Linked DNA regions of Macaca mulatta. Each later gene encodes a partner of the first gene's protein in a complex. Links are inferred from orthologs where the notes say so. Each region holds a gene or a part of one and is shown in the gene's direction. Other genes may lie near its edges.

What was found.
Region 2: FNIP1 (region 1) and LAMTOR2 share a complex: the UniProt entries of both Homo sapiens proteins name them as parts of the lysosomal folliculin complex. The link is inferred for Macaca mulatta from reciprocal best matches to the Homo sapiens genes FNIP1 and LAMTOR2.

What each region holds. Positions count from the first base shown.
Region 1 is NC_133411.1:140,591,750-140,595,563, reverse strand, and holds part of FNIP1 (folliculin-interacting protein 1), read left to right. Parts: intron 1-1,359; coding exon 1,360-1,529; intron 1,530-3,814. UniProt on the Homo sapiens protein: Binding partner of the GTPase-activating protein FLCN: involved in the cellular response to amino acid availability by regulating the non-canonical mTORC1 signaling cascade controlling the MiT/TFE factors TFEB and TFE3.
Region 2 is NC_133406.1:110,879,111-110,883,420, reverse strand, and holds the start of LAMTOR2 (ragulator complex protein LAMTOR2), read left to right. Parts: upstream 1-1,202; 5' UTR 1,203-1,327; coding exon 1,328-1,395; intron 1,396-1,700; coding exon 1,701-1,863; exon of another isoform or gene 1,864-2,881; intron 2,882-4,240; exon of another isoform or gene 4,241-4,310. Other genes in the region: UBQLN4 (ubiquilin-4), read right to left, coding at 42-149. UniProt on the Homo sapiens protein: As part of the Ragulator complex it is involved in amino acid sensing and activation of mTORC1, a signaling complex promoting cell growth in response to growth factors, energy levels, and amino acids.

The sequences.
Region 1 (3,814 bases):
ATAATCAGAATTCTAAAAAATAATTAAATGATAGGGTATGGAAGAATATTACAGAACCTTATGAATGAAAAGCAGTGAAAATGTCTGTAATTATGTAATTAAAATTCCTGACATAGAATTGTCTGAGGCTGCCCATTTTTTTGTGAATTGTATCCACTTATAGTTTTATTTCATAGAAAAGAGGTAGAAAACATGTAAGGATGGCCAGGCGTGGTGGCTCACACCTGTAATCCCAGCACTTCGGGAGGCCGAGGTGGGTGGATCATGCGGTCAGGAGATCGAGAGCATCCTGGCTAATACGGTGAAACCCCATCTCTACTAAAAATACAAAAACATAATTAGCCAGGCGTGGTGGTGGGCTCCTGTAGTCCCAGTTACCCGGGAGGCTGAGACTGGAGAATGGCATGAATCCAGGAGGTGGAGCTTACAGTGAGCCGAGATCATGCCACTGCATTCTAGCCCGGGCGGCAGAGCCAGACTCTGTCTCAAAAAAATAAACAAACGAAAAAAAACATGTAAGGAAATGCTAGGATTTTAGTGATGCATTTTCAGTGTGATGTTTTATCATACTGTTTTCTTTTAACTATTCAAGTCTTTGGAATCCAGATGAGTAATTCAGATGTTTTTATTCTCTTTGATGATAGACGGAGTTTGCTCAATACTTTGCCTCGTTTTCCCATTCAGTAATTTGGAAATGTAAGGACCTGCTGGTTGATTCAGTAATGAATTGTGTGATTAAACACTGAAAATAATCCATAATGGGCCTGGCACGGTGGCTCACGCCTGTAATCCCAGCACTTTGGGAAGCCGAGGCGGGTGGATCATGAGGTCAGGAGATCGAGACCATCCTGGCTAAGACCATCCTGGCTAACAGGATGAAACCCCGTCTCCACTAAAAATATAAAAAATTAGCCGGGCGTGGTGGCGGGTGCCTGTAGTCCCAGCTACTCGGATGGCTGAGGCAGGAAAATGGCATGAACTGGGGAGGCGGAGCTTGCAGTGAGCTGAGATTGCGCCACTGCACTCCAGCCTGGGCAACAGAGCGAGACTACATCTCAAAAAAAAGAAAAAGAATCCATAATTTTTGAAGTAAAAGGGCATTTCTGTTTTGTACTTATGATCTACAATAGCTCTTTTGAATGTTACCTTTATTTTAAGTAGTTTTTAACTCCTTCTCAACCGGAAACAATTAACTTTCATTTTAATCCTGGTGTTATATACTCATCCTTTCCACTCTCCTCTGCTTTTTTTGGTGCCATTTGGCCACATGAACATATATACTCTTCTTGCTTACTTTGTCACTACATAAAGGTTTCATGAAGGCAGATTGGAATTTGATCAGATGTATTTTGTTTTCAGATTCTTGCCAGCTCTCATTACTGCAGTTCTGACTAATCATCTTGCCTGGGTTCCAACAGTCATGCCAAATGGACAGCCACCTATAAAAATATTTTTAGAAAAGCATTCCTCTCAGAGTGTGGACATGTTGGCAAAGACTCATCCATATAACCCACTTTGGGCACAACTGGGTATGTAATCTGACAACTGTTACAGTATATATTAAACTTGTTTTGTAGCTATCTGTAATATTTTTATAGCAAAACCAAAAATAAATAAAATGCCTTTACCTCCTGCATTCTAAAGCATCTCTGCTTTGCTTGTCCTTTCATGTCTGGCAATTTATCCTATCCTCATCTTAGACCTGAAATCATTCCTTATAGATGAAGAACTGCAGGTATGGCAAGAGGAGCAGGCTAATAGCTGGTTTACTAGTAACTCCAGATTTTCAGGGTGTTTTATGATTTTGTACTTTGTGTTAGGTACTTTGCAAGAAAGAATGAATCAACAAAGTCACCTGTGATACCTAAAATAAATCTGGTTAGGAGGGAAGCAGTTCACTGAGGTTTCTGTTGATCCACTTTTGTTCACTTGCTGAGTCATTTTGGAAAATGTTTCCCTCAGTGTTAAACACCACTAAACAAGTGGGGGAAGAGGGGAGAGTAAGTGGTTGATAAGTTCATAGGCAATAGGGAGGGATTATAGCAGAGTGCTAAAGACACAGGCTGTGGAGTCAGGCACACCACGTTTGAATCACAGTTTCCTTATTCATAAAGTGGGAATAATAATAGATGATACATACTTTAAAAGTTGTAAAAATTAAATGAGATAATACATGTAAAATGGTTAAGACTGTCTGGTAAACGTAGCTGCTAGTTATTTCTGCTCCTACTCTATTGCTGTTAGATGATGGGAGAAGAGTAAGATGAGAACATTTTGGTGATTGGGTAGTAACTTTCCTTAGGTTGCTCTGGTGATTGACCTTGCCAGGTAGATTGTCATATGGCTTATCAGTTCATATAACCAACCTCCTTCCCTATTGGCTTTCTCCCTTGCTCCCTCCCCCATTCCCTTCCATTTTATTGAGTTATAATTGACATATAGTAAATGCATTTTTTTAATGGAGTCTCACTCTTGCCAAGGCTGGAGTACAGTGGCATGATCATGGCTCACTGCAGCTCCAATCTCCCTGGGATCAAATGATCCCCCTACCTTAGTCACCCAAGTTGCTGGGACTACAGGTGCATACCACCACACTAGGCTAGTTTTTGCATTTTTTGTAGAGATGGGGTTTCGCCATGTTCCCCAGGCTGCTCTCAAACTCTTGGACTCAAGCGATCTGCTCACGTTGGCCTCCCAAGGTGCTGGGATTACAGATGTGAGCCATCACACCCGGCCCAACACATATTTAAAGTACACAATTTGGGCTGGGTGCGGTGGCTCACGCCTGTAATCCTAGCACTTTGGGAGGCTGAGGTGGGTGGATTACTTGAGGTCAGGAATTCGAAACCAGCCTGGCCGACATGGGGAAACCCTGCCTCTACTAAAAATACAAAACAATGGCCAGGTGCAGTGGCTAACGCCTATAATCCCAGCACTTTGGGAGGCTGAGGCGGGTGGATCACAAGGTCAGGAGATTGAGACCATCCTGGCTGACACGGTGAAACCCCATCTCTATTAAAAATACAAAAAATTAGCCGGGCATGGTGGCGGGCGCCTATAGTCCCAGTTATTCGAGAGGCTGAGGCAGGAGAATGGCGTGAATCCAGGAGGCGGAGCTTGCAGTGAGCTGGGATCGCACCACTGCACTCTAGCCTGGGCAACAGTGCAAGACTCCGTCTCAAAAAAAAAAAAAAAAAAAAGAAACCAAAAAAACAATTAGCTGGGCATAGTGGCAGGCGCCTATAATCCCAGCCACTTAGGAGGCTGAGGCAGGAGAATCCCTTGAACCCGGAGGCAGAGGTTGTAGTAAGCCGAGATCATGCCACTGCACCACAGCCTGGGCAACAGAACGAGAATCTGTCTCAAAAAAAAAAAAAGCAATTTGATAAGTTTCGCATATATGCCTCTGAAACCATGACCACAATCAAAACAGTAATCATATTGCATCATTTCCAAAAGTTTCCTTATGCCTTTTTGTAATCTCTTCCTCTTCCTCCCCCTCTTCTTCTCCCCAGTTTCTCTGTTCCTCTTCCACCATCCCTACACAGCCACTGGCTTACTTTCTGTCATGATAGATTACTTGCATTTTCTAGAGTTTTATATGAATGGAATCATGCAGTATATACTTTGCAGATTCACCTATTTTGTGTGTATTAATAGTTTATTCCTTTTTAATGCTGAGTAGTATTCCATTGCACTGACTTTTTAAAAATCAAATTATTAGTAGTATTTTTTAAATTGGGACATTTAAATCCTTTTTTAATTCTACAGTCATTTGTTCACTATCTAAGGCTCTGTGCTATAAAGATGAATG
Region 2 (4,310 bases), on another chromosome or scaffold:
CCCTCCTCCGCGCTCCCCCCGCCTCCCGCCTGCTGTACTACCTCCTTGACCGAGGCTCGATCGCAGATCACAATTTCCTCCTTGTCCTTAGGGGTCTTGACGGTGACCCGAATAGGGGGCCTCGTCTCGGCCCCGCTCGGCTCCGCCATGCCGCCGCCGCCACCCGGCCGCCCGCCAGCCCGCCCGGCTCCTCCTCCTCCCCGCCCGCCCGGCCGGCCCGGCTCGGCTCCTGCGCCTCCAACACTCCCCTCTCTCCACCTCTCCCCTCCCCTCCCCTCCCCTCCTCTCCCCTCCCCTCCCTGAGGCTTCACCGCCCCCTCCAGACCAGCCGCAGCCACAGCGCCCCGGGCGGACCGGGGGGGCCACTGCAGCGGGGTCCGCCCAGGGCCAAGCCCCAGGTCCGGAATCCGGCCAGGGTCTCGCCAAGCTGGGGCTCCTGGGGAGGCTCTGGGCGGGGGAAGGGACGTGCCCTTCACTGCGGGGGCGAGGGCGAACTCCCCGGGAGACCGCGGCCCAACGCTGCTCGCCCGAGCCGTGCCGCCGTCCCCTCCGGCCCAAAGCCTCCCCGCCCCCTCCGCGGCTAACTCTGCTCCGGGACAAAGGACTTTGTGTGTCGCCGCTTTATCTCCGTTCCCTGTGATAACTTGGTCTTTCTTGGAAGCCCCAAGTCCCTTCCAGGCCAGGGGCCTTTCCCGACTTGGAGGTTGGGTTTCCCACCAAGCACGTCCACTTAGGATCTCAGCTCTAGGACTGACCCTATAGCCCCGAGGGTCGCGGCCTAAATGGTCTGTTGCGAACGGTTCCAGGGAGCTGGGTTTTGGCTGCGTGGCCTTTCAGAGCCTTGATTTCCTCAAGATAATAATAGTACCTCTCGCCTCATCGCACAGAATTGTGCATAACGGAGAAAACTGTTTTGAAAGTAACCAAAGGCGCGCCTGACAAATATGAGGATGTAGTATAATTATTGAATCGTGGACTGCCAAGCGGACACGTTGATTCCTTTCTCCCCGAAGGGGTTAAATGTCCTTCCAGCGCTGCAGCTGTCCTTTCACTCCCGCTCTTTTCCGCCCCCACAACCGCGTGGTCCGCCTGGAAAGGCGAACTATAGTTCCCATGGTGCCTCGCGAGGTCACGAGGAACTACGATTCCCAGAGACCCCCGCGGCGGGGCGGTGTTGAGTCGGAACCACAATAGCCAGGCGAGGAAACTACAACTCCCAGGGCATCCCGGAGCAGGCCAACGGGACTACGGGAAGCAGCGGGCAGCGGCCCGCGGGAGGCATCTCGGAGGATCTGGGTGCAAAAACCCAGGGTTAGGAGCGGTAGGCATGCTGCGCCCCAAGGCTTTGACCCAGGTGCTAAGCCAAGCCAACACTGGAGGCGTCCAGAGCACCCTGTGAGTGCGGACCACGGACCCCAGCGGCGCGCGCTGCAGTGGAGCGGCGTGCGACTCCCTGAGGGAGGGGTGGGGAAGGATCGCCCGGAAGGGAGGAGGCGTCAGAGGGGGCAGTGGCTGGGGGTACCGGCCGGGAGGTCACCTCTCGAAAAGGGAGGCCGGTGTGCTGGGTGCTTAGGGCACGTTCCGGGACACACTCAGCCGAGAGCCTTGCTGGATGTGCCCGTGGCGGGACTTGAGATGGAAACCCAGACGTTTTACTCCCCGCGCTGAGCACATCGTTATCCCTCCCCGCCCCTCACCAGGCTGCTGAATAACGAGGGATCACTGCTGGCCTACTCTGGTTACGGGGACACTGACGCCCGGGTCACCGCTGCCATAGCCAGTAACATCTGGGCCGCCTACGACCGGAACGGGAACCAAGCATTTAATGAAGACAATCTCAAATTCATCCTCATGGACTGCATGGTATGGAGAGGGGAGCCAGACTTCCCCTGTCCCCCAAGGGGATCCCAAGGGGGCGACCTGGACCCCATCCTGGATGGTTGGAGGGGCAGGGACAGGATCTCCGGAAGATTACTAAGAGTTGGTCTGCAGCAGCATTTGTAATAGGCAGGACCCTATTCATCAAGTGGTGGTGAGGAAGGAGCCCTGGACCTGAGAGGTCTGACTTGGGTTCTGGTCTCAGCCATCCACTTATCAGTTGTGGAACCTTGGGTAAGTCGCTTAACCTCTCTCAGCTTCCTTACCTCATGTCTAAGGAGAAGACAATTTCCCTCTCCCCGCTTCCCTCGTGGGTTGTTGTGAAGGTCAAATGAAATAATGGGTATAAACAGTAGAATGACGTGCAAACACAAAGTGTTGTCATCCCAGCTTCACCGACTCACAGAACCATGGCAGTCTCCAGACCCTAGTCCAACCCCTTAAGGTTACAAAGAAAGGAAAATGAAGTCCAGAAAGGGGAAGTCGCCATTAGACTGTGAACTTCCTAGTATCTGTTCAGTTAACAAATATTTAGGTCCTTGCAGTGTTCTCAGGACTAGGGAAAAAAAACAGCAAACAGAAAGACAAAACCCCCAGACCTAATAAATCTTACACAGTGATGCGATCACAGCTCACTGCAGCCTCGACCTCCCTGGGCTCAGGTGATCCTGCTGCCCCAGCCTCCTGAGTAGCTGTGACTACAGTCATGCACCACCACACCTCACTAAGTTTTGGATTTTTTGCAGAGACTGGGTTTTGCCATGTTGCCCAGGCTGGTCTCAAACTCCTGGCTCAAGTGATCCACCCACCTCGGCCTCCCAAAGTGATGGGATTACAGGTGTGAGTCACTGTGCCCGGCCACATTTTTTAAAATAAGTAAAATATGTAGTATATATTAGGTATTGAAATTGCAATGGAGAGAAAGCAGGGAAGTTAAAGAGTATGAGTTTGTTGGGCGTATGTGTCAGGGACAGTCTCACTGGAAAGGTGATATTTGATCAAAGATGTGAAGAAAGGTGGGGGACAAGCCATGTGGCTATCTGAGGGAAGAATATTTTGGACAGAACAGCAAGTACCAAGGCCCTGAGGCAGAATTATGCCTGCTCAAGGATCAACAGGGTTGGTTGGTATGGCTGGAGTTGCATGAGAATGGAGGAGGGTTAAGTAGGAGATAAGGTCAGAGAGGCAGGGAGTGCAGTGCTTGGTTCCTGGCATACAATGAATACCTAGTAAAAGTTTGCCGAACTTACTTTTGTTTTTTTCAAATCGGCCAGAGGGTGAACTCTCCAGGAAGGATCTTCATAGTAACTCAACTGCCTACTCTCCCCTACCCCCTGCACAACCAATGCCATTTTTAGTTCAACATAAGACTCCTACTGGATGCCTAGAGCTGGTGCTATAAGGAAATAGCTTTCAAACGTTTTGACCACAACCCAGCCATAAGAAATATATTTTAAAGGGCCGGCACGGTGGCTCATGCCTGTAATCCCAGCACTTTGGGAGGCTGAGGCGGGCAGATCATGAGGTCAGGTGTTCAAGACCAGCCTGGCCAACATGGTGAAACCCTGTCTCTACTAAAAGTACAAAAAATTAGTCAGGCATGGTGGCATGTGCCTGTAATCCCAGCCACTAAGGAAACTGAGGCAGGAGAATCACTTGAACCCAGGAGGTGGAGGTTGCAGTGAGCTGAGATCACGCCATTGCACTCCAGCCTGGGCAACAGAGCGAGACTCCATCTCAAAAAAAAAACCAAAACAAACAAACAAACAAAAAACAAATACATTTTAAGGCTGAGCGCAGTGTCTCACTCCTGTAATCCCAACACAGACTGAGGCTGGAGGATACTTGAGGCCAGGAGTTTGAGACCAGCCTTGGTGACCTAACAAGACCTCATCTCTACAAAAACTTTTTTTAAAAATAAATAAATAAATAAATAGGAAATAATTTTTTAAGAAAGACATTTTAAGTCACAGCTCAACACACACATATACCCACTAAAACAAAAGTCATGAAACAATACTTTTCCTACTACATGTAATATACTTCATTTTTTCTTTTTTCTTTTTTAATGCTGATCAACCTTCTTTTTTTTTTTTTTTCTTTTTTTTTTTGAGACGGAGTCTCACGCTGTTGCCCAGGCTGGAGTGCAGTGGCGCGATCTCGGCTCACTGCAAGCTCCGCCTCCCGGGTTCCCGCCATTCTCCTGCCTCAGCCTCCTGAGTAGCTGGGACTACAGGCGCCTGCCACCGCGCCCGGCTAATTTTTTTTTTGTATTTTTAGTAGAGACGGGGTTTCACTGTGGTCTCGATCTCCTGACCTTGTGATCCGCCCGCCTCGGCCTCCCAAAGTGCTGGGATTACAGGCTTGAGCCACCGCGCCCGGCCTAACCTTCTTAATTTATTTCCTAACTGTGGGGTCAAACCTGCAATTTG